Linked DNA regions of Elephas maximus indicus. The protein of the gene in region 4 purifies or fractionates together with the protein of the main gene of each other region. This does not show direct contact. Links are inferred from orthologs where the notes say so. Each region holds a gene or a part of one and is shown on either strand. Other genes may lie near its edges. The genes, in order: DDX42, U2SURP, SNRPA and SF3A2.

The links.
Region 1: the proteins of SF3A2 (region 4) and DDX42 purify together in Homo sapiens (affinity purification with mass spectrometry; 3 studies listed by BioGRID and IntAct, with this or other methods). This does not show direct contact. The link is inferred for Elephas maximus indicus from reciprocal best matches to the Homo sapiens genes SF3A2 and DDX42.
Region 2: the proteins of SF3A2 (region 4) and U2SURP purify together in Homo sapiens (affinity purification with mass spectrometry; 3 studies listed by BioGRID, with this or other methods). This does not show direct contact. The link is inferred for Elephas maximus indicus from reciprocal best matches to the Homo sapiens genes SF3A2 and U2SURP.
Region 3: the proteins of SF3A2 (region 4) and SNRPA fractionate together in Homo sapiens (co-fractionation; 3 studies listed by BioGRID and IntAct, with this or other methods). This does not show direct contact. The link is inferred for Elephas maximus indicus from reciprocal best matches to the Homo sapiens genes SF3A2 and SNRPA.

Annotation. Positions count from the first base shown.
Region 1 is NC_064837.1:54,986,735-54,994,620, forward strand, and holds the start of DDX42 (ATP-dependent RNA helicase DDX42), read left to right. Parts: upstream 1-4,875; 5' UTR 4,876-4,882; coding exon 4,883-4,962; intron 4,963-7,048; exon of another isoform or gene 7,049-7,220; intron 7,221-7,886. UniProt on the Homo sapiens protein: ATP-dependent RNA helicase that binds to partially double-stranded RNAs (dsRNAs) in order to unwind RNA secondary structures. Unwinding is promoted in the presence of single-strand binding proteins.
Region 2 is NC_064841.1:16,832,610-16,839,638, reverse strand, and holds the start of U2SURP (U2 snRNP-associated SURP motif-containing protein), read left to right. Parts: upstream 1-4,008; 5' UTR 4,009-4,066; coding exon 4,067-4,111; intron 4,112-7,029.
Region 3 is NC_064829.1:110,909,085-110,916,384, reverse strand, and holds the start of SNRPA (U1 small nuclear ribonucleoprotein A), read left to right. Parts: upstream 1-4,290; 5' UTR 4,291-4,399; intron 4,400-4,831; 5' UTR 4,832-4,853; coding exon 4,854-4,926; intron 4,927-7,300. Other genes in the region: ACTMAP (UPF0692 protein C19orf54 homolog), read right to left, coding at 243-367, 871-939, 2,975-3,285. UniProt on the Homo sapiens protein: Component of the spliceosomal U1 snRNP, which is essential for recognition of the pre-mRNA 5' splice-site and the subsequent assembly of the spliceosome. U1 snRNP is the first snRNP to interact with pre-mRNA.
Region 4 is NC_064821.1:2,911,176-2,918,573, forward strand, and holds the start of SF3A2 (splicing factor 3A subunit 2), read left to right. Parts: upstream 1-4,386; 5' UTR 4,387-4,471; intron 4,472-7,398. UniProt on the Homo sapiens protein: Component of the 17S U2 SnRNP complex of the spliceosome, a large ribonucleoprotein complex that removes introns from transcribed pre-mRNAs.

The DNA.
Region 1 (7,886 bases), on a different chromosome or scaffold from region 4:
TCGGTGGACTCAAACCTCCAGCCTTTCAGTTAGCAGCCACGTGCATTAACCATTTGTACCACGCAGTAAGATACACAGAAGACACAGTTGTTTGTCCTTGCTAGAGACAGTAAATTAGGTGGATGGGCACTGTGTTCTGCATCTACCAGTGAAAGACCTGGGGGCCTTCGGTTTTCTTTTGGTTGACCCAAATCTCTGAAGAGTATAGGAAAAGGTATTGGATATATTCATTTTGCTTCTTGCTGAGTCTGAGAGCCATTAAGCAGCCCTCACTTGCCCCAGATTGCACAGCCTGTCTGTGTCACAAGTTGAATTTTTAAAACCCAGTGTTTGGTTCTTTTGTAATATGAGCCTTTTGATTGTTCAGTAGGACTAATATATCTGTATCTGTTGTTATTAGTTTCCATTGAGTGGGCTCCGATTCATGGTGACCCCATGTCTGGTCCTACACCATCTTCATAATCCTTGGTATACTGGAGTACATTGGTGCGACCACTGTATCGGATGATAATCTGTTGTGAGCCATAGGGCTTTTATTGACCAGTTTTTTGAAGTAGATCGCCAGGTCTTTCGTTCTAGTCTGTCTTAGTCCGGAAACGCTACTGAAACCTGTCTACCATGGTGACCCCGCCAGTATTTGAAATACTGGTGGCATAGCTTCTAGTATCATAGCAACACCCAAGCTACCACAGTATGACAAACTGACAGAAGGTGGTGGTCTGTCTCTTTGCCCCATCCTTTGCTCCTTCCCTCCAGCTGAGGAGGAAGAGTCACTTGCTTTTCTTGTTAAAGGTTTCGATCTTGCCTCTTTGGGTCACCTCAAGGACCTTGTTCCTGTGAGTTTTCTGCTGCCGCCTCCCCCCCCCCATCTTCAATATTTCTCTGTTGGCTTTTGCTTATAAACATGTTTAAAGTTCTTAAAAAAACAAAATTGCTCTGTTAATGCCCCCACCGTCAGTATTCCTCTTTACCGTCTACGTACATACCAGTCACTTCTCAACCCTGCAGGGTAGGGTCTGCCCTGCTGCTCCACTGAGACTGCTTTCCCTGATGACGCCTGGTGTACAGCCAATAGAGGCTTTTTAGTTCTCCTGCTTACCTGACTTCTCTCTCTCTTTTAATTTTATTGTGGTGAACTATAAATAATAAAAAAAATTTGCCATTTTAAGAGTGCAATTCGGTAACATTGATTATATTCTCCGTGTTCTGCTATCATCACCACTATTTCCAAGTTTTTCATCATCCCAAACAGAAACTCAGTACCCCTTGAGCAGTAACTCCCTGTTCCCCCAGCCTCTGGTAACCGCTAATAACCTTTTTTCTCTCTGCATTTGCCTGTTATAGATGTTTCATATAACTAGAATCATATAACATTCATCCTTTTGTGTCTGAATTACTTCACTCAGCATATTTTCAAGGTTCATCCATGTTGTAGTATGTGTCAGAACTTCTCTTTATGACTGAATAACATTGTATGTATATATACCAGATTTTGTTTATCCATTTATCTGTTGATGGACACTTGAGTTGTTTCCAGTTTGGGCTGTTGTGAATAATGCTGCAGTGAGCATTGGTGTACTAGTATTTGTATGAATCCCTGCTTCCATTGGGGGGAAAAAAAACCGTAGCCCTGAGTCAATTCTGACTCAAAGGGACCCTATCGGACAGAGTAGAACTGCCCCATAGAGTTTCCAAGGAGCGTCTGGTGGATGTGAACTGCCGACCTTTTGGTTAGCAGCTGTAGTACTTAACCACTACACCACCAGGGCTTCCCTGCTTCTGTTAGTAATCTTATAATCACTTTCCTTGCCTCCAGCTTTTCCTGCTGTCTCATCTGTGCTTTCTAAAGCACTGACCTGAAGAATTCTCCATTTTGCTTAAAAATATGCCTTATGGCCAGCAGAATATTGTTTTGTATATTCTTAGTATAGAATACCAAACTGGCCACTTGGGCCCTGCCTGTCTTTCTGGACACGTGTCGTGTAGCTCTCCCAAATGTCCTACTGAACTCTAGTTGCACTGAACTATTTCCAGTTCTCTGATTGTAGTAGTACTTATTGTTCCCTCAAACAAAAATGCTGTCCTCGAATACTTCCTCCCTAGCCTAATGCTTCTTCAAATTTCAAAACTTAGCATCAGTGTCATCTCCTGAAAACTTCCATGCCTTCCCCCCACTCAGCCTGTGTTGTTTCCTCTCTCCTGAGCCACCAGTGAACGCATTTTGTGCAGTACCTTTGTTAGAACACTCACCTTGTTTTGTAGCTGTTGGCTAAGATTATACTGTGAACTCATGGGGAGAACAGGGACTGTTATCTTTAGTACACTGCCTGACCGTCTGCAGCAGGCTTCCAGTAAATCATTGGAAGTTTTCCTTTTCACTTAAAGATTGTTCATACTATTCTTAATTCATCTGAACCTGAACGTCTTTCCACCATCCCTTCTTTGCCTGCCTTCTGATTTCTATAGTTCATTTATTAGCCCCTCATTCTACATGGTATGTACTGGGAAAACAGGTTAGTCCATCATTTTGGGTGCTTAGGAGCAGCTCTTGTAAAAGCAGGCTTAAGTATTATCAGATGCTGAAATTTTCTTGCTTGTGAATATTCTTACTAAATCTCATCTCACTAGAATTATGTTCATTCCTCTTACTGGATTTTTAAAGAAATTAGCAGATGGCCTTAGTTAAATGCAAATTAGTGCAGTAAAACCTGTAAAACAGGTAAACCTGTCAGAGAAGGAAAACTTGGTTTCCACTAAGTTGAGAGTGACGGGAAACCCTGGTGGCGTAGTGGTTAAGTGCTGTGGCTGCTAACCAAAAGGTTGGCAGCTCAAATCCACCAGGTGCTCCTTGGAAACTCTATGGGGCAGTTCTACTCTGTCCTGTAGGGTCGCTACGAGTTCAAATTGACTTAACAGCAACGAGTCTTTTTTTAGAAAGTGATAGAAAAGTGGTGACTGCACCATGTCAAAGGTGAAAAATTGCGAGACCTGGAAAAACAAGGCAGTCCTGTCAAGTTCTGGCTCTCACAGGTTTCCTGTACTTACTAAGTACCTACTGTAGGGTGCTTACTGTTACGGAAAGTCCAAGTTGAGTAATGACAGTTCCTATCTGGAGCTCTCAGTCTAAGGCTGGAGATAAAAAAGAAAAAACAAACCCGTTGCCATCGAGTCGCTTCTGACTCATAGCGACCCTATAGGACAGAGTAGAACTGCCACATAGGATTTCCAAGGAGCACCTAATGGATTCAAACTGCCGGCCTTTTGGTTAGCAGCTGAAACTCTTAATTACTACACCACCAGGGTTTCCAAGGATGAAGATAAACACCGTGTAACTGAAATCTAATACTAAGCAGACTGAACAAAGTGCTATATAAAATAAAAAGACTCATTGCCGTTGAGTCGATTCCAACCCATAGCGACCCTATAGAACAGAGTAGAACTGCACCATAGAGTTTCCAAGGAGCGCCTGGTGGATTCCAAGTGCCAGACTTTTGGTTATTAGCCGTAGCACTTAACCGCTATGCCAACAGAGTTTTCAAGTGCTATATAGTGGCAACTCAAACAAAACCTGTATATAGGGGAGGGATGTAGAACCAGAAAAGTACACAGCATGTTTTTCTGGTCCCTGCAACAGTGTCATCTCTAAATGCTTTATACACCTTAATAAAGCAGTTTTTTGGAACTTCTTGCTACTTGTAAACCCTAGTGGGGGCGGTTCTACTGTGTCCTATAGGGTTGCAGTGAGTTGGAATTGACTCCCTGGCAACGGGTTTGGTTTTTTTGTTCACGTGGATTTCAGAGCCCATTGTAAGCATTTTAATTATTATTAATCGTAAACTTTAACACAAGGGAAAAAGTAAAAGTCAACAATAACTGCCACTAACATTTTGATAAACAGCTTTCCAGCTGTCTCTGCATTTGTAACACATGATCTTACATAATTAGATCATACCACCTACCTTCTTTTATACTTCTTTTACTCAGCGTATAGTAGATACTTTTCCATAGGTGTAAGTAGTAATTAAACTTTCTAAAACTTTAATTACTAATATTCCTTTTGACTAAGTAGTTGCATTTTAAAAATTGATTCTAAGGCAATAATTACGGGTATTCACAAAGATACAGGTATAATGATATGTTTCACAACATAAAACAGTTGTTGTTAGGTACTGTGGAGTCATAGCGGCCCCATGTACAGCAGAATCAAACACTGCCCATCCTGCACCATCCTCAAAATCGTTGCTGTTTAAGCCAGTTGTTGCAGCCGTTGTGTCAGTCCGTCTCGTTGAGGGTCTTCCTCTTTTTTGCTGATCCTCTCCTTTATGAAGCATGATGTTCTCCACAGACTGGTCCCTCCTGATAACGTGTCCAGTAAGTAAAACAAAGTCTCAACCATCCTCACTTCTAAGGAGCGTTCCGGCTGTACTTCTAAGACAGATTTGTTTGTTCTTCTTATGGTTCGTGGTATACTCAATATTCTTGGCCAACACCATAATTCAGAGGCATCAGTTCTTCCTCAGGCTTTCTCAATCATTGCCCAGCTTTTGCTTGCATCTGAGGTGATTGAAAATACCATGGCTTAGATCAGTGGTCTTTTGTGACAGATTTGCCCAATTCAATGTATCGTTAGATTTCTTGGCTGCTGTTTCCATGGGTGTTAATTCTGTATCTAAGCAAAATGAAATCCTTGACTACATCGATATTTTCTCTGTTTGTTGTGATGTTGCTTATTGGTCCAGTTGTGAAAGTTTTGTTTTCTTTATGCTGAGGTGTAATACATGCTAAAGGCTATATGTAGTCTTTGCTCTTCATCGGTAAGTGCTTTGGGTCCTTTTCATTTTCAGCAAGCAAGGTTTTGTCATTTGCCTATTGCAGGTTGTTAATGAGTCTCCCTCCAGTCCTGATGCCATGTTCTTCATATAGTCCAGGCTTCTCGAATTATGTGCTCAGCATACAGTTTGAGTAAGTATGGTGAAAGAATACAACCCTGACACACACCTTTCTTGACATGAAACTATACAGTACACCCTTGTTCTGTTTGAACGACTGCCTCTTGGTCTATGTACAGGTTCCTCATGAGCACAATTAAGCGTTCTGGAATTCCCGTTCTTGGCAGTGTTATCCATGATTTGTTATGATCCACACAGTTGAAAGCCTTTGCATAGTCAGTAAAACACAGGTAAACATCTTGCTAGTGTACTCCGTTTTTAGCCAGGTTCCATCTGACATCAGCAGTGATATCCATCATTGCACGTCCTCTTCTGAATCTGGCTTGAATTTCTAGCAGTTCCCTGTCAATGTATGCTGCAACCGCTTTTGAATAATCTTCAGCAAAATTTTACTTGAGTGTTACACTAATGATATTGTTTGATAATTTCCGCATTTGCATTGGATCACCTTTCTTTGGAATGGGCACAAATGTGGATCTCTTCTGGTCAGTTGACCAGGTTACTGTTTTCTAAATTTCCTGGCGTAAACAAGTGAACACCTCTAGCACTGCATCCATCTGTTGAAACATCTCAATTGATACTCTGTCAGTTCCTGGAGCCCTGTTTTTTGCCAGTGCCTTCAGTGTAGCTTGGACTTCTTCCTTCAGTACAGCTGGCTCTTGATCGTATACTACTTCCTGAAATGGTCGAACGTATGTGTATCCCTTCCATCATCTTTTGATGCTTCCTGCAGCAATCAGTATGTTGCCCATCGAATCCTTCAATATTGCAACTTGAGACTTCCTTCTTTCAGGCTTGAGAAATACTGAGTGTGTTCTTCCCTTTTGGTTTTCTAACTCTGGGTGTCTTCACTTTTCATTGTAATACTTTGCCTTTTCCAGCTGCCCTCTGAAATTTTCTGTACAACTCTTATTTCATCATTTCCTCCATTCGCTTTAGCTACTCTACATTCAAGAGCAAGCTTCAGCGTCTCTTCTAACGTCCATTTTGGTCTTTTCTTTCTTTCCTGTCTTTTTAATGACCTTTTGCTTACTTAATGTATGTTGTCATCCCAAAATTTGTCTGGTCTTTGGTCATTAGTGTTCAGTGTGTCAAACCTTTTCTTGAAATGGTCTCTAAATTCACATGGGTTATACTCAAGGTCATATTTTGGTTCTTATGGACTTGTTTTAATTTTCTTCACCTTGAACTTGAACTTGCATATGAGCAATTGATGGTCTGTCCCACAGTCGGCCCCTGGCCTTGTTCTGACTGATGATACTGAGCTTCTCCACCATCTCTTTCCAGAGATGTAGTCGATTTGATTCCTTTGTATTCCACTGGGCAAGGCACACATGTATAGTCACCATTTATGTTGTTGAAAAAATTCTATCATACCATCCCCAGTGTCGTCTCTGTCACCAATGCCTTATTTTCCACCTATCTGATCCTCCTTCTTTGTTTCCAACTTTCACATTCCAGTCATCGGTAATTATCAGTGTACTGTGATGGTATGTTTGATCCATTTCGACTACAGAAGTTGGTTAAAAATGTTCAATTTCCTCATTAGTGGTTGGTGCGTATATTTGAATTACAGGTGTATTAACTGGTCTTCCATATAGGTGTGTGGATATCATCCTATCACTGACAGTGTTGCACTTCAGGATTGATCTTGAAATGTCCTTTTTGATAATGAATGGGATGTCATTCTTCTTCAGTTTTTCATTCCCAGCATGGTAGACCATGTAATTGTCTGATTCAAAATGGCCAATACCAGTCCATTTCAGCTCACTAATGCCTAGGATATTGATCTTTATGGGTTCCATTTCATTTTTGACAACTTCTAATATTCCTAGATTCATACTTCGTACATTCCACATTTCGATTATTAGTGGATGTTTGCTTGCTGTTCTCATTTTGAGTCTTGTGCCACATTAGCAAATGAAGGTCCCAAAAGTTTACTCCATTCACAGCATTAAGATAGACTCTAAGGAGGTAGCTCTTCCCCAGTTGTATTTTGAGTGCCGTCCAACCTTCCGGCTCCTGTATCAGACAGTGTTCCACTGCTGTCATAAGGTTTTCACTGGCCAGTTTTTTTTTTTTTTTTTTTTTTTTTTCAGAAGTAGAACACCAGATCCTTCTCAGTCTGTCTTAGTCTGAAAGCTCCACTGAAACTGCCCGCCATGGGTGACCCTGCTAGTGTTTGATACACCAGTGGCATAGCTTCCAGCATTACAACAACATACAACCCACCGTAGTACGAAAAACTGACAGACCAGTGGTGGTATACAGGTATGTTTCACAGCGTATGGCAGTAGTGGAGGGATATACTTATTGACATTTAAAGACATTCACAGTGTATGAGTAGATGAAATCAGCTCACTAAAACTGTACAGTATGGTTTCAGTTTTTTTTTTTTTAGTTATATATTTTCGTGTATACACATTGTTAGGCGCATGTACATAGAAAAAAAATAGGGAAAGAGATCAACAAAATTACATACCTGGGAGAAGAAATTTCAAGTAAAAACACAAAATTTTAGATTTTGCTCCTTTTTGCTTTCTGAGTTTTCTGTTTTTCTAAGAAACTTTGATAACTTGTGTAATTAAGATTTTTTTTTTGGCATCAAGAGTTTCAAGGTTCTGTTTGTAAACTGACTCTATGGATACTTTGATTCTATACACACAGACACTGGTATCTCTCCTTCGCTATCATGGGTACTTTGTAGTCCTTATCCAAAGGCTAAATGGATATTTTAGGGAACACCTCAGTGATGTTGTTAGTGTTAGTTGCCCTTGAGTCATAGAGACCTTAAGTATAACAGAACGAAACCTTGCCTGGTCATGTGCCATCTTCATGATAGTTGGTTTGTTAGAGTCCATCATGGTGGCTGTTGTGTCATTCGGTCTCATCATGGGTTTCCCTTATTTTCATTGGCCCTTTACCAAACATGACATC
Region 2 (7,029 bases), on a different chromosome or scaffold from region 4:
GTGACTTCATTACTGAGCTGAAAAGGTGTTGGGGGCCATACTCACAGGGCTTCTCCTGTCTCTGTCAGGCCAGCAAGTCTGGTCCTTCTTTTTGAGTTAGAATTTTGCTCTACATTTTTCTCCAGCTCTATCTGCGACCCTCTATTGTGATCCCTGTCAGAGCAGGCAATGGTGGTACCCGGGCACCATCTCATTGTACTGGACTCAGTCTGGCAGAGTCCATGGTAGATGTGGTCCATTAGTCCTTTGTACTAATCTTTCCCTTGTATCTTTAGTTTTCTTTGTTCTTCCTTACTCCCAAAGGGGTGAGACCAGTGGAGTATCCTAGATGGCCGCTTACAGGCTTTTTAAGACCCCCAGACGCTACTCACCAAAGTAGAATGTAGAACATATTCTTTATAAACTATGTTATGCCAATTGAGCTAGATATTCCCCATGATCATGGTCCCCACAGGAACTTGATACTCTCGATGAAGAGTAACTGGCTGTTAATGTATGGGTCTGTTTCTGGAATTTCAATTCTATTCCATTTATCTATATGTCTATTATTATACCAGTACCACACCATTTTGGTTACTGTAGCTTTGCAGTATGTTTTGAAATTGGGAAGTATTTTTATTTTTCAAGATTCTTTTGGCTATTTGGTGTCCCTTGCAATTCTGTATGAATTTAAGGATTGGCTTTCTCATTTCTGCAAAAAGTCCTGTTGGAATTTTGAGGGGGACTGCAAAGAACCTGTAGATTGCTTTGGATAATATTGCCATCTTAACCACATTAAGTATTCCAATCCATGAACACAGGATGTCTTTCTATTTATTTAGGTCTCCTTTAAAATTTTTCAGCAATGTTTTATAGTTTTCAGAGAACAAGCCTTTCACCTCCTTGGTTAAATTTATTCCTAGGTATTTTATTCTTTTAGATGCTATTGTAAATGGTATTGTTCTCTTAATTTCCTTTTCTGGTTGTTCACTGCTGGTATATAGAAACCCAACTGATTTTCAAATTTTGATCTTGTACCCTGCAACTTTGCTGAATTAGTTCATTAGCTCTAGTAGCTTTCTTGGAGTCTTTGAAATTTTTTATATAGACCATGTCATCTGTGATTATAGTTTTACTTTTTCTTTTCCAACTGGGATGCCTTTTCTTTTTTTTTTAGTGTAAAAATGGTGTGACAGGAGTGTCAGACCTCCTCATCTAACTTCACAAGGGGAAGAGAGAATCATTATCAGCACCAACAGACCAAGGCTGATTCCTACGAGAAGGCAGACATACCTCCTCTCTTCAACCTTTTTAGTAATTCTGACACCAGCCATCCCTCCCACGGCAATCTCTACTTCTCTGCTGGGTTCGATAATTCGTTGCAATGGCCACACAAAACTCACAGACAAAACTCACAATCATGGGGTTTATTAGGGAAGTAAAAACAAAAAACCGGTTGTCATCCAGTTGATTCCGACCTGTAGCGACCCTAGATAACGGAGTAGAACTGCCCCATAGGGTTTCCAAGGAGTGGCTGGTGGATTTGAACTGGTGACCTTCTGGTTAGCAGTTGAGCTCTTAACCACCGTGCTACCACAGGCTACAAATCAGGATCAAAAGTCACTCAGAATATAGCTCTTCAGTCAGGACAGTCTCTTCTCAGCCATGCCTGCAGGCAGGCCTCTCTTCCGGCCCTTGGCCCCTCAGCCCCCGGCACCTCAGGCTGTCCTCTGCCCTGCTCGGGCAAGTGTTACACATCTCTTTAGCTTCACCAGTAACTGCCCATGGGCATCCCACCCTGCCAGTAAGCCTCGGCCCAGAGGCACTTGCTTGCTCTTCCTCCGTGGGTTGGTAAGCCTAGCTCTGCTGACAAGTGCACGGAGGCACCCCACTCGGTTAGGAAGCCTCCTGCCTGAAGGCATTCAGGTCTCTCACTCTGTAGGTGGGCAAACCCACTGTAGCTGCCTTGCTCTGGGGGTGAAGAAGCCTGCGGCACTGTCTCATGCCAGTCTCCTGGTTCTGCTGCTGCCGGTTCTCTGCTGCACTTGCTGCTGCTTCTCACCATCTTGCACCATTTCCAGTGTTACAGCTCTCTGTAACAGGGATCCCGGGTCCAAAGGACATGCACCACTCCTAGCTCTTCTTGGTGGTACAGGGTCCCCTGCTCTCTGCTCACATCTCTCACCTTTTATCTTTTATAAGATAAAACGTGTGACTCAAGTAAGGGCATGACTTGAAAAAGGATGGTAGGGTAGTGACTGAGGTAAGAGTGGTGACTTAAGTCACATTCTCTAGTAAGGTGGTGACTCAAGACACATCCCACCTTAATCTGCCTCGTTAATACAACAGACAACTCACTCCCAAATGGGACCACAACCACAGGCACAGAGGCTAGGATTTACAATACACCACCAAGTAGAGGCTAATTATAGCAATCACAAAATGGAAGATGATTACATCATTACATAACTGCCATAACATAACATGGTCCAGCCAAGGTGACACATAACCTTAACTATCTCTGGTTCCACATGCCTTATTTGCACAGTCTCACTCAATCACTGTGTGGGAGTCACAAACTATGGCTAGAAGGGCCATATTAAGTAATTCATGTCACCACACTAGGACTTCCACTACAACGTTGAATAGCCGTGGTGAGAGCAGGAGTCCTTGTCTTGTTCCCCATCTTAGTGGAAAAGCTTTCAGTCTTTCACCGAGTATAATGTTAGTTGTGGGTTTTAAATTTAATGAAGACAGTACATTTTTACTCGTCTTTGTAAGCCCCACAACACTTTGCACAGGGTTTTGTAGAAAACACAAGGCTCAAAAATATTTTGAATGAATTAGGGAACACGGTTCCCTGTCCCTTCCAATTCTCCTGCACCCCCAATATCTTAAGTTGATCTTCCCGACTTAAATCTGTCTTCCGCTATGCTCTGAGCAATCTTTTAAAATGAAAATCTGACCATATTACAGCCCCACTTAACCCTATTGAGGGCGACGCTTCATCCTTAGAATATAACTCTTAACTCCTAATACAGGGTTCCTGTATGGTTATCTCGGCATCCTGTGTGAACTTGCTCCCATTCACTTCTCCAGCCGCGTCCCCCTAAGCCTCTTGGTTTAATAAAACTTGACTGCTTGTGGTGCCCTGCAAAACGGGCTGCAGTCATTCATGCCACAAAGCTTTTATTCCAACTGCTCTCTCTGCCTGGAATGTCTTTACCACTTTCCTTGCCTGGCTTGGTTCCAAGCATGACCTTCTCAAGCAAGCTTTCCTTCTGCGAATCCAGATCCCGATTTAGAACTTTCAAAAAGTCCTAAGTACCTAAAAAATTTATGGCGCTCCCCCATTTATGTGAATAACAGGAAAACAGTACAGAACAGTAGATTTACATGTATGCTAGATTGAGAATACCGTCTTTCTCTCGTTCATCCTCTCTCTGCTCGTGTCCATTTTGCAGGCGCCCTAAACAGTCAGTTTACCTGGTAACCGCAATGCTGGATTCCCGAACTGGGTCAAATGCCCCTCTTCTGGGCTTTCCAGGCACAACTCTAGCTCAACATTGACCATTTTAAAGTAACGTGAGCAGATGCCAAGTTTGCCTTTGCCAGTGGGGTGTGAGCTCCCGAGGAGGCGCGAACTGCGTCTTTGTTCACTGAGCGCCAGACTCCCAGTTGGCTTCAAACCTATTTTTTGAGTTGAAATGAATGCTCCTCCCAGATGTTCAGTGCATTTCTCTTTAAGGAGCGGCTCCCTCCTCGCCTGGGAAATACAACCGGCTGGCACCTATTGAGTGTTGGCCCTGGGAAAGGAGTGTGAGATATCAGTTGGTCCTGAACATCAGAACAAGGAGATTCTCTCCTAAATTCACTAGCACAACAACCCTGTCACAGAGACACAGACAACAACCCGTGGAAAGACTGACCCCGGAAGTCACGTGACTCGGCCCCGCCCGGGCTCACTACCTCTTCAGTCGACTACTCAGCCTTGCAGGCGCCTCAGGCGGGCTCTGCCGAGATCTGCGCTTTCGGTGCTCGACTCTCCTGTGCTGCTGCCGCCGCCGAAGGAGGGGCAAAGCTCAAGATGGCGGACAAAACGCCAGGCGGCTCTCAGAAGGCCAGTTCAAAGGTAATTTCTTAGAAGACTTCGTAAGTCAGTGGCTCTGTCGCTGTCGTCTGGGGCCTACAGACAGTTCTGGTCAGCGGGAGGCGAGCGGGTTGGGGGTGTGCGTTCTGGTCGCAACGGTAGGCCGGGGCGCCGCCGCACCGTGGTGCGCATGTTGAGAGGCCTGGTGTCGCCCCTAAGCCCCAGCCTGCACTCAGCTCGACACTGGCGGGCCCGGGGGGACGGCGTAAGTCCTTCGGCCCGCGTTTGGCGCTGGAGTCAAACCAGGAAGTCACAGTGAGGTCCGAGACCTGTGAAAACGCGCCCCTGTGTCTCAGGTTGTTGAGTCTGAGGCCGCCGGACACAGCAAGGGAGAGGCGGGAAGCGTTTTTCGGGGCTTGTGCCTGCGTCCCTTTATCTTGGGTTCTTTAGCTCAGATCATTCCGGCCTTCCTCAGTTTCCCTCGTGTCCTCCAGGGAATAAATAACCTCTAGGGCTGCCTATGAGGGGAGGGCTAATAGTGGAGGGACGCGGGTGGGAAGTGCAGAGGCGGGAGCACTTTTCCTTTGCAGTGCTGCACCGCCAAGGTTAATGCTACACGCTACACGTGGTCTTTACCTCACTTTAGAGGAAGTGTAAAATGAGCACTTGTTTTTGAGGGTCCAGGATTTGGCTTCGGCTTCATCTCCATGTTGTGTATTCTACTGAAAGGAGAGCTTCCGTAGACTTGGAAGCCATCTAAGAGTAGTAATTTGCATTTGGTTTTACGGGAACCCTGTTCGTATACTGTGAAACCAAAGTGCTGTAGAGGAGTAGTTTGTTGTCAGTAAGGTTGTAGTTAACGTCAGATCCTAGTTGCCATATCGGGCAGGGCATTTAATCGTTTTTTTTTACTTTGAGTTTCTCGTCTGGAAAACATGTTGAAAGAAATAGGTATTTACTGACACGAAGTTGTTGTGAAGCGTTTTGATGCTGATGCAAGAAGTTGTGTAATTCTTGAAAGTTCTGGGGACTGTTAACACATCTAAACTGTGTATGTGGTTGTAAGTCGGTTAACAGGTTTACGTTTGCCTTGACAAACTGGTTATGTTACCAAAACAACCCGTTTTATACTTGATTTCTCAGTTTCTAATAAATGTGAATCTTCATGCCGTTTGGTGAATGATGCTCATAATTAGTTCATAATTACTTATAACTTTACTAGTCAACCTTTACCAAAAAAAAAAAAAAAAAAAACTCAAAAAAGCAAAAAAAAAACCCCAAACCCGTTGCTGTCGAGTCAATTCCAACTCATAGCCACCCAAGAGGACAGAGCAGAACTGCCCCATGGGGTTTCCAGGGAGCACCTGGTGGATTCGAACTGTTCACCTTTTGATTAGCAGCTATAGGTCTTAACTACCGTGCCACCACGGTTTCCAGTCAACCTTTAGTTTAAAAAAAAAAAAAAAAAAAAATTTTTTTTTTTTTTTTTTAGTTATGTAAAAAAGTATGGTAGAAGGCCAGTTTTGGCTGCATTACATCAAGGAACCCTGTGTCAGTTCCTCCTCTCCCCAACACACTTCCCCTGTCTTGTGAGGGAGAGAAACAGGTGTGTACCTTACTCTTCTGCCCACTCTTCCCCTTAACAGACTCATGCTAAAAGCAGCCCATTTTGTATTAAGGAGCCTTAGTAAAGCAAGCTGCTATTATATTATTGTTAGACCAGAAAAACCAAACCCACTGCCGTTGAGTCGATTCCGACTCATAGCGACCCTATTGTTTAAAAAAAGTGCCTTCAAATCAGTTCTGACTCATAGAGACCCTGTGCACAACAGAAGGAAATACAGCCTGGTCCTGCACCATCCTCACAACTGTTTCTGTGTTTGAGCCCACTCTTGCGGCTACTGTGTCCGACCATCTTGTTGAGGGTCTTCTTCTCTTTCACAGACCTTCTACGAGGAATAATGTCCTTCTGCAGGGACCGGTCTCTTTTGATAACATGTCCAAAGTACGTGAGATGAAGTCTCACCATCCCCGCTTCTAAGGAACATTCTGACTGTACTTCTTTCAAGACAGATTTGTTTGTTGTTTTGGCTGTCCATGGTATATTCGATATTCTTCGCCAACACCATAATTCAAAGGCATCACTTCTTTTTCAGTCTTCCTTATTCATTGTCCAGCTTTCATGTACGTTTGAGGCGATAGAAAATACCAAAGCTAGCTACATCCATAGTAATGTTTCATGCATACATTTCACAATTTTTGTTTCTTGTTGAAGTAAGTATCTCTTATTTGAGGCCTTGGACACATTAAAAACATTTCAGTGTACATGTTCAGGCTTCCTTCTCAAGGTTGTGTATGGCTGTATAAGTTATTGAGTATTCCAGTAATAAAATTTTTTTTAGTTTATGTCACTTTAGGTTATCATCTCTTGATGCTGTTCATAGATTTTTATCAATGTCTGTAAAGGGAATCAATATCTCAGTAATCAAATGATGTTGACATGATTTTTTTTCCATTAATATGGCTGTTGTTGTGTGCCATCCAGTTGACTCTGACTTGTAGCAACCCTATCAGATGAAATAGAACTTCTTTGTAGTGTTTCCTAGGCTGTGATCTTTATGGAAGCAGATCGCCAGGTCTTTTCTCCAGCAGAGCTGCTGGTGGGCTCAAACCACCAGACTTTCGGTTAGCAGCCAACCGCTAACCGGGGCCCTTCATTAATATGGAAGCATAGCATATTGGAAAGGTTATGGAGTTTGATAATAAACAAGAGTTTTGGATTTGAATTCTGGCTTGGTAACTAGCTAGATTTTGTGATGTTAAGGCAAATTGCTTAAACTCTTGAGCTTCAAATTTCTCCTGTAATACGGTAGAATATGGATATAATCTCTCTCCTTTTTTTAAACAGGGTCGATGTAGGATTAGAGGAGTTAATATCTGTAACATTAATAAATCTTATA
Region 3 (7,300 bases), on a different chromosome or scaffold from region 4:
GTCAACTCCTTTGCACAGACACAGAAGATAAGGCACAGAGAGGGTGATCAGCTTGCCCCAGGCCACACAGCATGGAGGTAGCAGAGCTGGGTTGGGAACCTAGTGTCCACCTCATGACCACTCCCCCCGACTGTGCGACAAGGGCTGAGGGATGGCATGAGAGCCTGTCCCGCACCTGGTAGTGCTACCCCTGGCCTCTCCGAGTGAAGACCCAGCTGCAGACCCTCCTGCTCCCAGCTCACCAGAGAACATCTCCCCCTGGGCGGTGTAGCCTCTCTCCAGTGCCACCTGCATCAGTCTCTCCAAGGGGACACCGTTGGGGGGTGCCAGGAGAGTGCCTGCCATCCACAAGGCCACTAGCCCGCACCTGGGGAGAGACAGGCAGGGGCCCAGCCCCTCAATCCCTAAGTCACTTTGTTACTGGGCCCCCTCTGCCTAGAAGCTGGAGTGTGGGGATCAGGTTTGCTGCCTTGGGGGAGTTCTCCTCCCCTCTCCCAGGCCAGATGGGGAGACCTGACTCCCCACCATGGGACAGAGAATGGCCAAGGCCTGAGCCTAGGGCTGGAGAGATGAAGGGGTGGGCAGGGAGAAACGTCACATGGGTTTCCTGGAATACAAGGTGCCAGTATGGGGTTAGAGAGGATGGACCAGGTTCGTCTTTTCACCCGTCAGTTTCTTCATTTGCTCACTCATTCATTCCAAATCTCTATTCGCTATGGACACACCCGAGACCGTGTCCTGGCAGGTCCCCCCTTCCCTCCCCAGGTCGCTGGGGCCTTGTCCCAGCCTCCCTCTGGGTAAGCCCAGCACAGGCAGAGGCTCAGAGTACAGGGTGGACAAGGGGGTGGGGTCCTGGGTCAGAGAACTTACTGAGGGCCTTCTTGGATGAGGGACGGCAGATCAGCACAGAAGAGGATCCACTGCAGGTCACTTCTGAAACTGAATCAGAGCCACACTCGGGTCAGGCAGGATCAGCTCCGAGGGGCCCCTCAAGGTCCAGGTGGGGGCAGAGCATACAAAGATACAAGGACACAGGAAGGAAACACAGGCCAGGCCATTCTAAGGCCCCAGGGTGGCTCCTGGCTGCATCACTGACTTCCTTCTCCCCCATGAGGCCCTTGCCCTGTCTGAGCCTGTTCCCCCCTCTGGCCAGCGGGAATCATCCTTCCCCCTGCGTGCTCTCTGCTCCTTCTCAGTTACTGAGGAGGCAAAGAGCAGATATGCAAAAGCCATGCAACTAGAAGCCAGGGACACAGATTAGAGAAAATTCCTCAAAGACATGCCGCTACAGCTAAACCCTGTTTTAAAAAAAACCCAAACCTGTTGCCACTGAGTCAATGCTGACTCATAACGACCCTATAGAACAGCGCAAAACTGTCTCCATAGGGTTTCCAAGGAACGGTTGGTAGATTTGAACTGGCAACCTTTTGGTTCGCAGTCAAACGTTTAAACTGTTAAATAAGGTGAAAATCCTTTAACGTGGGTGAAATTAAATGGTCACCTAAATCCCGAAAAATTTAGGCTGATGGCCTAAAATAATAAGTCCTTACGTGTCTGACCAGCCCCCCCTTTCCTCCCCCTGGGGAGGCCTGGGGAAAAGTTCTGGTGATCCCAACCTCCTCCTTTCCCTCCAGGGCTCAGGAGAGGGCAGAGCCCCAGAGTCTTCATTTCCATCTCAGAGTCAGTAAGAGAGAGAGGCTGAAGGGGAACCCAGGGCTCCTGACCAAAAAAGAGATGATGTTACAACACAGTGGTTTAAAGTGCGAAGCCAACCTAAAAACCAAAAATCCGTTGCTGTCGAGTCAATTCCGGCTCATAGCAACCCTACAGGACAGAACTACCCCATGTGGTTTCCAAGGAGTGCTTGGTGGATTCGAACTGCCGACCCTTTGGTTAGCAGCCTTAGCTCTTAACTGCTATACTACCAGGGTTTCCAAAGCCACCCTGCCCAGGTTCAATTTGGGCCCTTTCTCTTAATTCTACAGCTCGGTGATTTCATCTCTGTGAGCCTGTTTTCTCATCTGGAAAACAACACAATAATAGCTTCTACCTCATTAGATTGCTAAAAGAATTAGATAGTTCAATACTTAAAAACCATTAGAGAAAGGTGCCTGACACAATAACGAGCTCATTTTATTTGTGTTTAATTAACCTCATCATGGTTGGGGCATTTAAGACAAATTATAAACTAAGAAGAGCTTGAAAGTTCTTCTGAGTCTGGACAAGTCAGTTCCCCTGATTCCTGTCAGCCAGGCAATCATTCAACTGGGTCCTCTTCACCTCCTTCCCCTGCCCACCACCTCAACCCTGGTCTGGTCCCCTCCTCTCCAGTCTGGTCCTCCAGCTTCCTCCCTGGGCTCTGACTCTAGTCTTACCACCTACCATCTACGTGTCACAGGTAGCCTCATCCAGCGTAAGTAGTTCCTCCTATGGCTCCCCAGAGCCCTCAGGGCAAAGTCCAGCCCCCTTACCATGGCCCACCCTGCTACCTCATGTGTGATCTGGCTCCTGTCCCCCTTTGCCACCTCCCTGTCTCAGTGAGGAAATGCTTGCAATTTCTTTAAAACAGCATGCTCCCCTTTAACTCTGGGCCTCTGCATGAGCCGTTTGCTCTTCATCATGCACCCCTTGCAAGACTTGCTCAATAGCACTCAAGGTTCCCCTTCTCCAGGAAGCCCCCTCTGTCCCCAGGCTGGGTCAGGTGCCCCATTTGGGCTCCCCCATCACAGCCCTGACCACTCTGGGCTGTCACTGTTTGGTGTGGGTAGTCTGCCTCCTCCACTGGACTAGGCACTTGTGATGGCAGGACCTTTCTTCATTGATGGAGCCATACCACCACCGGAGGGCTCAGTAGGGGACTGGTCCGACCAGGCTGTTTGACCTTGAGGACAAACAGGAAACCCCAAGAAGAGGATAAAATGATCTGGGACAGGTAGTTGGTAAGATGACTGGGTGGGTGAAGAGGAGACCCTACCGGTCCTTGTGCAGCTTCAAAAGCCTCTTCACATCCTCTCTGCCGGTGGGGACTGGGCCGGCCTTCTCCAAGGCCTCCTTCAGCAGCTGGCTCTTTTCCATGCCGAAGACGTGAGGGGGAGCAAGCCCCAAAGCAGGAGGTGGAGGCGGCAGTGGGGGTGGTGGGGGAAAAGGGGTCTGGAGACTCGAGGAAATGGGTAGAAAAGTTACATCCGGGGAATTTGGAGGCACGAGAGGTGGAATGGAGGCCTGGGGTGTAGGGGCGCTGGGAGGAAGGACTGGGGGCTCTAGAGATGAGCATGGAGAAGTCATTTCGGAGTACTTGAGAGCAGCTCGGTGGAAATGCGAAGGGGAAGGATCCTTCAAAATGCTGTTTAAGGTTGGCTGCAGAGATGGGGATTACGAAGGTTTTACAGCTGAGTCCTAGAACATGGGAGCAGAACAATGGGAAACGAACAAGGTGGACGCAGGGCTTGTGCAGGCTCAAGTCGAGGATCTGAGAGTTAACAGGGTGGGGTCTTTTAATCTCACATCCGCTAGTATGGGGCTGGGGCGGGTTGGTTTGCGGGACGAGAGGGGAGGAGATTAGGAGTTAACTTGTCCAGGTCAAGACTTGGAAACTCATGAGTTAAATTTCGGGATAACGGGCCTCAATCTTGGGGTGTAGCGCCTAACACGTGGGGTTTAGGAGTCTCGAGCTAAGGACTGGGGTAATTAGACTCTGTTCCCCACCCCCACCCCCAAGCCGAAGTTCGAACCTCTGAGCTGATCTTTGAGCCAGAGGTCAAAAAGGACACTGGGTAGAGAAAACTGCCTACTTGTAGACAGGGTCCTGGAATAACTGAGAAACAAAGTCTGCGAGTTGGGAAAGGCTCTGAGCCTTTCCGGGAGGCCGGAAAGAGCGACGATGCCCGTGGAAAATGAACGGAGTTGGAAAACACCCGCCTCCTCTCCTCGCAAAATGGCGGCTGCCGCACACAGGTTTTCTCACGTCACGTGGTAGAACTCGCAACTTATGCCCGCCCCTTCGGCAATCACGTGGTAGAAAATGGCAGTGCGGGCTGAGAGGTGGGGCTATCAAAGGATCCTCGCCGGAAGAAGCTGCAGAGCGAGCCGCGTCTCGATTGGCAAGGAGCGCGTGAGGGGGCGTAGCCTTCACTGATTGGTCCGTACGCCCCGAGGCATCTGGCGGCCTAGGAAGCACACAGGCTGGGGCGGGGTTTTCTCCCTAGGCGGGAACCCAAGTGTCGTTTTGATTGGCAAGCTATTGGTGAGGGAGGTGAAATTTACTCTGATTGGTCAAACTGCCAAGTTTCCACGCGGAGATTGGCTTGCGGGAAGGCAAAGGCTGGGTCAAGGGAGGAAGCTTTGTGGTCCAACCTCAGGAACTCAGGAGACGCTACTTGTGGGAGCTGCCGTCCGGTCGGTGAGTAATCTCGGTCACAGGCGGTCATCGGCGACGGGCGGGTGGCGCAGATGGAGCTCGGACTCTCCCGCATCTTGTCTGGAGAAACTTTCCCGCTGCATGAGCCCAGGATGCCCCAAATTTGTCTCCCCTTCCTTAACTGGTTTTACATCCGGGTGTTTTCTCCTGGGCCGCCCTTTGGGCGTGTGAGTCAATAGGAATCGCCATGTAGGACGCCCCGCCTACTGGGTCGCGTAGAGCATTCTGGGACTCGTAGTAAACCTCTCGAGGTTTCCCTTAGCACGCGGGGATTAGAAGCGGTTTCTGCCCCCGCCGCGTTGCCCAAACTGACTTTTTCCGGGAAGGAAGATCCGTGAGCAGTCCGTTAAACTAGAGTTGGGGCAAAGGATTTAGAAAAACCCAGGCGTGAAGTTCCCTTTTTCCTTTTCTTAGCCCTACCTCGGCATCTAGCTCCATGGCAGTTCCCGAGACCCGCCCCAACCACACAATTTATATCAACAATCTCAACGAGAAGATCAAGAAGGATGGTGAGTTCTCCAGTGGCCCAAGCGCTGGGCTGTACCGCACGAGTTGGCCCTTCCCATCGCTTCTCTATCTTTGTCTACTCCAGCCTGCCTGTTAGAGCTAACCCTTCGGTCCTCGCACATGCTGCGTCCTCTGACTTTTAACACTCCCTTAGTTGATCCACGCCCTACCCGCTAACTTGGCCACTATTGCTTGTCTTTCACGTCTCAGTTCACAGGACCATTCCTCCCCCAGGTGTCTCCCTCTGACTTATAGGCCCTGGGCATCAAGTCCTGATCACTCTGGGCTGTCATGTCTCCCCACCAACCTGTGAGTTCTGTGAGGGCAGGGACTGGAGCTCTCTAGGTCACTGTCATGTTTTCAGTGACCAGTCCACAATGAAAATACGCAACAGTAACGGAACATTCTGTACCACGTGGTGAGCTATGCACTTTTACATAAATTTCCATTTAACAATCCTGCTGGAAGAAGCTTTTGTTAATCCTGTGTCTCAGATAGAAAATTGACACTCAAGTGTGACTTGACTTGCCCAAGGTCACACAGCAGGGAAAGTAGCTGAGGCCACCAGTTTGGAGTTCTGTTTAAGAACATACTTGACATTGTATAGACTCTTCTATTTTCTCAAGCAAGTTGTCCCCTTTACTGAATCCCACTTTTTTCTTTATCTGAAAACTGGACTAACCCAAAAACCCATTGCCATCAAGCCACTTCAGACTCATAGTGATCCTATAGGACAGAGTAGAACTACCCGATGGAGTTTCCAAGGAGCCGCTGGTGGATTTGAACTGCCAACCTTTTTGGTGAGCAGCGGAGCTGTTAACACTGTGCCACCAGGGCTCTGAAAACTGGGCAAGATCATAATACCATGTTTGCATGGATGTTGTGAGGATTAAATTAGCTAAATCTCCATGCAGTGCTTTTTATGGTACTTGGTAGGAAGAATCAGGTAGGTGTTGGTTGTTATCACAAAGGAGCTGCTGGAATTAAATTTGAGGTTACTGATAAAGTTGCTGTTGGAAAAAAACAAAACAAGGAATGTAGATTCTGCACATGCTTTTAAACTATCACGCCTGGCCATGCTAGGTGGTGAGGTGCTGAGGGCACCATGGGGAGCAAGTCAGCCCTGGCCCTGCCCTGTTGGAGCCACAGTCCAGTGGAGGAGACAGACCCGTCATCTGATTGTGACAAGTCAGAGGATCAGGGCTATGGTGGGGAGAGGCCCAGGTGGAAGAATACAGCCAGGATGAGTAAGGGGAGGGGGTTGGGTATGTAGAAGGACAGAGATTCATTTAGTTTCAAAAAAAAAAAAAAACCCAAATCTGGACATCAAGTCAATTCCGACTCATAGTGACCCTATAGGACAGAGCAGAACTGCCCTGTATGGCTTTCGGGGAGCACCTGGTGGATTCAAACTGCTGACCTTTTGGTTAGCAGCTGTTGTTTTTGACCACTAGCCACCAGGGTTTGGTAGAAGCCCTCCAAAGCTTGAGGAAGCAGCATTTGGTGAGGGAGAAAGGTATTCATGACTTTGACCAGCTATATAACTACCTAGGGACAAAAGAGCCTGGGATGTTCTGGGAACTATAAGTAGTTTTGTGTGGCTGAAGCTTCCCATGAGCAAGGCACTCCTGGCTCTCGGGGCCTTCTGGGCTGAATGAATTGGTGAGCTTATCCTGAAGGCATTGTAGAGCTATGCAAGGGACACAGTCAGTTGTCGGTTGTGAAAAATCCTCACAGCTGGGAAGGGTGAACTGGAGTGGGCAGGAGGGGAGGCTAGAGGCTAGGCAGTGGTCCTGAGTCCAGTGGAATGCCTGGGCCTCAAACTAGGCGCATGAGGACAAAAGGTAAGAGATGAAAACTAGAAATGTCACAAAGAATTTCTGGCTAATTGCTTCAAAACACCCTTGCTCCCATCCCCCCACCCCAAACAGGTACACACACATTTCCTTCACCCATCCTCTAGTATCTGTTGTTAGGTGCCGTCGAGTCGGTTCCGACTCATAGCGACCCTATGCACAACAGAACGAAACACTGCCCGGTCCTGTGCCATCCGTACAGTTGTTGTTATGCTTGAGCTCATTGTCGCAGCCACTGTGTCAATCCACCTCGTTGAGGGTCTTCCTCTTTTCCGCCAACCCCATACTCTATCAAGCATGATGTCCTTCTCCAGGGACTGATCCCTCCTGACAACATGTCCAAACTATGTAAGACGCGGTCTCGCCGTCCTTGCGTCTAAGGAGTATTCTGGCCACACTTTTTCCAAGACAGATTTGTTCATTCTTTTGGCAGTCCACGATATATTCAATATTCTTTGCTAACACCACAATTTGAAGGCGTCAACTCTTCTTCCGTCTTCCTTTGCATTGTCTAGCTTTC
Region 4 (7,398 bases):
GCACCTGGCCTCAGTGATTTCTCAGTGTCTGCAAGGGAGGCAGTACTGCTTAAGGGCCATGACCAGAGCTGGGGAGTGCAACTGCACAGGGAACCATTTAGCATTACCTTGTACTACAGGTTTTATGGCTCTCACTTGCAGGTAGAACTCACCGGAGGTCTGCAGCTCCAGCCTCAACAAGGTATCTCTGCCCAGAACGTATTCCAGTATTGGGGCTCTGTATACTTGGTAGACCTTTAGGGGTAGCCTTCCAATCTGCAGCACTAGTTTAATTTGGCACACCCTGACAGCCCCACCCCTGTACGCATCAATAGGTGTTAGTGGCCCTTTAAACCTACCTGGGTTATCATACATCAGGATGCACTTTGCTCCAGTGTCTACCAGAGCCAGAACATGTTCGTTAGTGGGGGTCCAGAGTATGATCATTTCAGTGTGTGGCCTCTGGCCCCCTGTCACCCAGCAGATGGTTTCCCGCACCTGTGGTGCACCTTGGCCACACCTCTAGTCTAGGGGTGAGGGAAATTCCCACCCCTTGGCAGAGGGAGCCATAGGATTGGCCTCCTCTTGTGGGCTCTGGTCAGTGCCTTTGTGGAACCCAGATCTTTTGTCAGGAACAATTTTACACCAAAGACGCACATTTTATAGAATAGATAGTTTGATCAAACATACGGCACAAATAAGAAATGCCCTTGCAGGGAACTGCTGCACTGAGACCCCAGACTGCTTGTCTGAGATGCATGGTCCAGGCTGGGGTTGTCTCGTCCCCTCCCATCAGCCATTTAAACCTGTCCATTGAAGTGCTCCTTTGCCCCTACGTCTTGGGGTGATAAAGAGTGTGACGAGTTCATTGAAGATCCAGTGGAAGCCTCTATATGGGATAAAATGCCCTGATATGACTTGCCTGCTGAGAACACCCTGGCCTGTTGGCTCGGGAATCTGTCCCTGCACAGGTTTAGTCTTGGCCAGGGTCTTGTAGGCAGGTCAGATTTTCTGTGTTGTCCAGCGTTTTCTGATGGCAGTGGCAGTCCATGTATGTAGGCCCCGTCTAGGATGGTGTGTGAATCTCCATGGATGGTTCTCTCTTACATCCAGGAGGTGGTTGACTGCACATCTCTTCACCCGGGAGCAGACAATGCTTCAGCCTCTGCAGTCAGCTGGTAAGACCGGTCTGCTCGTTGGCTGTTTTCCACTCTCAGCACAGGGGCTTTTCTGATGACTATCCACACAAGTAACAAAAGTTTCTCAGGAGCAGGACTGCTTTTGTTATTTATTTCGTCCAGATGTCTCATCTCTGTAGGGGATTGCTTTATATGTCAGTCCGAGGGTTTTCAGTGGCCAGATTGAATGGCCAGGCTGTTAGCTATAGCCCATGTCACAGTTTCCTCGTGCCCCTCTAAAAATGGCCCTAACTGCAGCAATTCCCATCAGGACTTGGAGGCAAAAGTCTACAAAGGTGTGCATTAATACATCGACATCATCAGTACATGCAGTAAGGATTTGTAGGGGCTCCAAGGGACTTCTCCATAGTCAGGCTGGGGTAAGTGTCTCAGTGAGAGTGACCTCAGACCCAAAGTATACCTCACTGGACTTTAATTTTAACACAAGGCCTTTGCTCCTCGTTGGTAACAAAGGAATTAGGCTTAATCCTCAATCTTAATTATTTCTGAAAGATCTGGGAAAAGTTGGCAGAGCCCTCACTCATTTATGGGGCCACACCTCCATCACACCAAGTGCAAGCATGGGTCCAGCCCAGTTACCTGGTAACCTGGAGGTGGGCCCCCTCTTTTAGTTTTCCCCTTACTATTGCAGTTACAGCTAGGTTGCTGTTCAGTTACCTTGGTGGGGGCAGCTGTCAGAGAATTCTGAGGTCTCTTCAAGGTCGCTCAACACAAGCTATCCTGACGGGCTTTTTACTCCTGTTTTTTCTTTTTTCCCTGCTGTTTTAACTCTTGCTTTGCACTGGGTGTTACAGGGCGTTCTCAGCGCCAGAGACCTGTTTATCCCCTCCAAGTAGCTCCAGTCCCATGCTCTACCGATTGAGCTAGCCAGGCTTGGCTGGCCACCCCAGGATTTCTCCCACAGAAAAGCATACGGGCCAGACCTCCCCACATAGAGGTCGTTGGCCACCCCAGGATGTCCCCCGAAAATGCCTCTTGCTTCTGCAAACGGGGCACTAATGTTTCAGTGGAGGAGGAGTATGCTGCCCGCAAACCCTCCAGTTGCAGCTCTGCTTCCAGCTGCCTAGTTAGGGCCCTAGCGGCTGGCTCGGGATCGGACGCCCCTCTCAGCGCTGCCAGTAGAAGCCACCCCACACAAGCCGCCTCAGCATGGCCATCTGGCTTTCGCTTTGGGGACTCCAGCTGACACAGCATATCTTCAATGCCCTTAGGCATTTTTGGAGCGTCCCCGTACTCATGCGGTGGGATCCAGGTATCCATAGCCACGACCCCCCCTCCCCGCCACATATATGGAGGACAGGGGCCATCCAGGGATTCCTACCATCAAGGTCCCTCTCCCTGCCATATGTCCAGCACTCATGGAGGTTTCCTCAGTCTCCTGGCTGGCTTGCCAATTGTTGGATAACAACCCAATGGTACCTGAACCCAAGGTTAGCTGCATCTCCAAGAGACCTAGGAAAGACTCTGGAACCAGTGATCATGACATATGTATGGTTTATTTGGGAAGCTTACTTATGGGACCGTGGTTCAGGGCGGCAGCTGGACCAGTTAAGCACCCCGCAACCACCTAGCAAGGGACGGCAGCTGGCCCAGTTCAGTGCTCTGCAACCACCTAGCAAGGAACCCAACCTTATGTACCACTCCAGCTAGGACCAAGGCTCGTTGTTTTTCTCCCACGTTCTTGGGCAGTCTGTGTTCCCAGGGACTTCACGCCCAGGCCCAGATGTTTTCCTTCCTGTTGCTAAGGCATTCCTCATGCTTGGCCGCTGGCCCAGTCATGCCACTCCCACCGTTGTACCTTAGCCTGAGTCCATCCTGAATTCATCCCCAGCATGCTTCGGGGAAGAGCAAAGCTGATTCCATTAGGAGGTATGCATATAGCTGAATAGCATTACCTTACAGCCTTCCATTTTCTTTTGATGGTTCCTGAGTTGTTCAGTGTTTTGCCTACAGTATCCTTCAAGAGAAGCAGATGGTGTGACTTCGTCTCACATTCTTCAAGGATGATATCAGGAGGGACCAGTCCCCAGAGAAGGATATCACGCATGGTAGAGGGTCAGCAAAAAAGAGGAAGACCCTCAACCACATGGAGTGACACAGTGGCTGCAATAATGGGCTCAAGCATAACGACAATCTTTTAATATTCCAACTCAAGGCTTGAATTTTCTCTTCAATTCTTTCAGCTTGAGAAATGCCCAGCATGTTCTTCCCCTAGGTTTTTGCACATTTCATTGTAGTACTTTGCTTTCTCAATCTGACCTTCGAAATCATCTGTTCAGCTCTTTTACTTCATCATTTCTTCCTTTGTCTTTAGCTAGTCCATTCTAGAGAAAACTTCAGAGTCTGTTCTCACATCCATTTTGGTCTTCACTTTCTCTCTTATCTTTTTAGTGACCTCTTGCTTTCTTCATGTAGGACTTCGTTGATGTCGTCCCACAACTCATCTGGACTTTGATCATTAGTGTTCAACACATCAGACCTATTCTTGAGATGGTCTCTACATGCAGATGGAGTGTAAGGAAGGTCATACTCTCATAGGACTTGTTCTAATTTTCTTCACCTTCAACTTGAACTTGCATAGGGGCAATTGGTGGTGTTTTACAGTCCTGGCCTTGTTCTGACTGATGATATTGAGCTTTTCCATCATCTGTTTCCACCACAGATGTAGTCAATTTGAATCCTTTGTATTCGCAGTGGTTAAGCAGTTGGATTCCACCAGCGGCTCTACAAGAGAAAGATGTGGCAGTGTGCTTCGGTAAAGATTACAGCCTTGGAAACCCCTGGGGCAGTTCTACTCAGTCCTGTAGGGTTGATATGAGTCAGGATTAACTAGTTGTCAACGGTGTTTGCTTTAAAGCTTTTGTTTATGGAGGATAAAGAGACAGAGACCCCAAATCCAAAGCCAAGTCCCGGACGCGCCCACCACTGGGCGGAGCCCTCTGCCTCCGCGCCGGCACCCCGCCCCTCCCGCCGAGAGCTCAGCGCAGGAAGCGGAAGTGCGCGTGCGCGGCCGGCAGCCATGATTCGCGGTCGGCCGGCTGGGGCGTGAGGTACGTCTGTGGCGCCGCCGGCGTCCGGCCTGGCCCGGTACCAGGTCCGCGGGGGGGGCCCGCTGGGGTTCCGGATGGTGCCGGGCCGCGGGGCCTCCGTAGCCGGACTTGGCCTGCAGCCTCCCGCTGCCGGCGCTGCCTCTTCTCCGGGGCCTGGGCCTCGGCCGGCGGCGCAGCGAAGCGGCCGCTGTGCTCTCCCAGCCCGGCTGAGGAGTCCCGCGCCCGCCGCGTCGGGACGGCCAGGTAGGGGGGCGAGGCCTAGGTGTGTCGGGGCGTTAATAGGTGAGGCCGTGCGTGGGCGGAGACCAGGGGTGTCCGCGTCGCCGGGAGTCTGTGAGGAATGCGGGGTGACAGGCCCGGGGAGTTAGCCTGTGCGCGCCCCGCTGCCGCCGCCTGAGTGCGCCCCGCACCGGGCTCCGTCGTCCGCCTGCGTCCCCGCCGGCAAGGACTGTTGGGAAGCTCTTGGGGGTTCTCAAGGAAGCGAGGTTGTTGGGAGGCGTCTCCCCCTCCCCTGGTTTGTTAACGGGCTCTGGTGGCGCAGTGGTTACGCGCTCGTCTGCTAACTGAAAGGTCACCAGTTCTAAACCACCACCCTTTGAGCAGAGGAAAGATGGGGCAATCTGTTTCTGTCAAGATTACAGTCTTGGAAACTGTGTGGGGCAGTTGTATCCTACCAGATAGGTTTGCTGTGAGTCAGGATTGACTCCATGGCAGGGGTTTGATTTTTTAATTTTATAGGATTTTGGCATAGATAAAGTAGTAAGAAACACGAATAGAACTAGCAAGTTCATTGTGGACCATAGTTACTCCACTTTAGGTGGAAAATATTTATTGGTGGTGGTGTTAGATGCCGTCGAGTCAATTCTCACTCATACGACCCTATGTACAACAGAACAAAACCCTGCCCAATACTGTGTCATTCTGACAGTCGTCATACTTGAGGCCATTGTTGCAACCACTGTGTAAATCCATCTCATGGAGGGTCTTCCTCTTTTTCTCAGACCCTCTGCTTTACCAAGGAAACCCTGGTAACAGTGGTTAAGAGCTATGGGTGCTAACGAAAAAGGTCGGCAGTTTGAATCCACCAGGCGCTCCTTGGAAACTCTATGGGGCAGTTCTACTCTGTCCTGTAGGGTTGCTATGAGTCGGGATCAGGTTTGGTTTTGGTTTTCTGCTTTACCAAGCATGATGTCGTCTAGTGACTGATCCCTCCTGATAACGTGTCCAAAGTATGTGAGAGGTAGTCTTGCCATCCTTCCTTCTGAAGCACATTCTGGTTGTACTTCTTCCAAGACAGATTTGTTCTTTTGGCTCTCCATGGTGTATTCAGTATCACCAACACAACTCAAAGGCATTGATTATCGTTCTACAGTCTTTGTTATTCACTTACCAGGTTTTGCACGCATATGAAGCAATTGAAAAAACCATGGCTTGGGTCAGGCACACTTTAGTCTTCAAGGTGACATCTTTGTTTTTTTAACAATTTAAAAAGGTCTTCTGCAGCAGATTTTCCTAATGCAGTGTCTTTTGATTTCTTGACAGCCGCTTCTATGGATGTTGATTGTGGACTCAAGTAAAATGAAGTCTTTGACAACTTCAGTCTTTTCTCTATTTATCATGATATTTCCTATAGTCCAGATGTAAGGATTTTTGTTTTCTTTATGTTGAGGTGTAATTCATACTGAAGGCTATGATATTTGGTCTTCATCAGTTTAAGTGCTTCAAGTCGTCTTCACTTTCAGCAAACAAGGTTGTGTCATGTGCATAATGCAGGTTGTTAATAAATCTTCCTCCAATCCTGATGCAATGTCATTCCTCTTCAATTTGTCATTCCCGGCATTGTTAAAGTTTCAAGTTTAGGTTTTGCTTTTGTGAATAGTGCTGCTCTGTTCATTCTTTTTCCGTGCTCTAAATGCACAGTAACTTCCAACTGAGGGAAAACGGCTGAGTTGCAGATCATAGCCAAATTTAAATTGATCAGGAAATTACAGTGTTCTCTACCCATTTTCCCTTCCACAAAATAAGCATATGTATTTTATCTGTTCCATTTGTTTTGGCCAACATGGGGATTCTCAAATATATTAAATTATGCTTTGTAAAGCTTATGAAATCGTATGTTACTTTGAGTTTATTCTGCAGTGATCTTGCACTACTGCAATAGTGACAAGGCTGTGCGTGTTTTCCCACTGTAAATTTGCCATTCTGTGACTTTTTAGGGCTTCGTTATAGAGTTTGGAAAAATATAGTTTCATTGGAAAATTTTTCCCTAGTATGTAACTTATGGTCTTCACTCATTTTTTGCTTCCTTCGATAGAGTCCTAAATTTTAATATAATTGAATTTTCAATCTCTTCCTTTGTGTCTTTTTTTTTCCTCTCTCTACTAATGTCATGAAATTGTGCTTATAATTTCTGAACGTGTTATTTTACATTTTGACATTTAAAGTTAATCTACTTGGAATTTATTTTTGCATGTGGAGTATGGAGGAATACATTCATTGTTCCAGTTAGATAATTAGTTGACTCTACCCCACATATTAAAGTGCCTGAAGTTTCTGGCAGTGCCCTGTAGTGTGCTTCCTCTGTGATTAGACAATTCTTCATATAAGTTGGTGAGCCTGTTCCAGGGCTATGTATTTTTTTCCAATGGATCTATTTGTGTATTCCTATACTGATCCTCCACCACTCATATGAGGGTTTGTCGTACGGTGGTGGCTTGCATGTTGCTGTGATGCTGGCAGCTATTCCACTGATATTTCAAATGCCAGGAGTGTCACCCATGGGGGACAGGTTTCGGGGAGCTTCCAGACTAAGACAGACTAGAAGAAGGAACTGGTAATATACTTTTGAAAAAATCTGGCCAGTGAAAACCTTATAGAACATTGTATAATATACTGCCAGAAAATGAGCCCCTCAGATTGGAGAGCACTCAAAACATGACTTGAGAAGAGCTGACTCCTCAAAGTAGAGTCGACCTTAATGGGGACACTAATTTGCTGATGTGTCAAAACCGAAAATGAAAAGAAACAGCTACAGGCAGCCATTAATAATTAGAATGTGCAATGTATGAAGTATGAATCTAGGAAAATTGGAAGTCGTCAAAAATGAAATGCATAAAGATCGATATCATATGTGTTAGTGAGCGGAAATGGACCAGTATTGGTATTTTTAA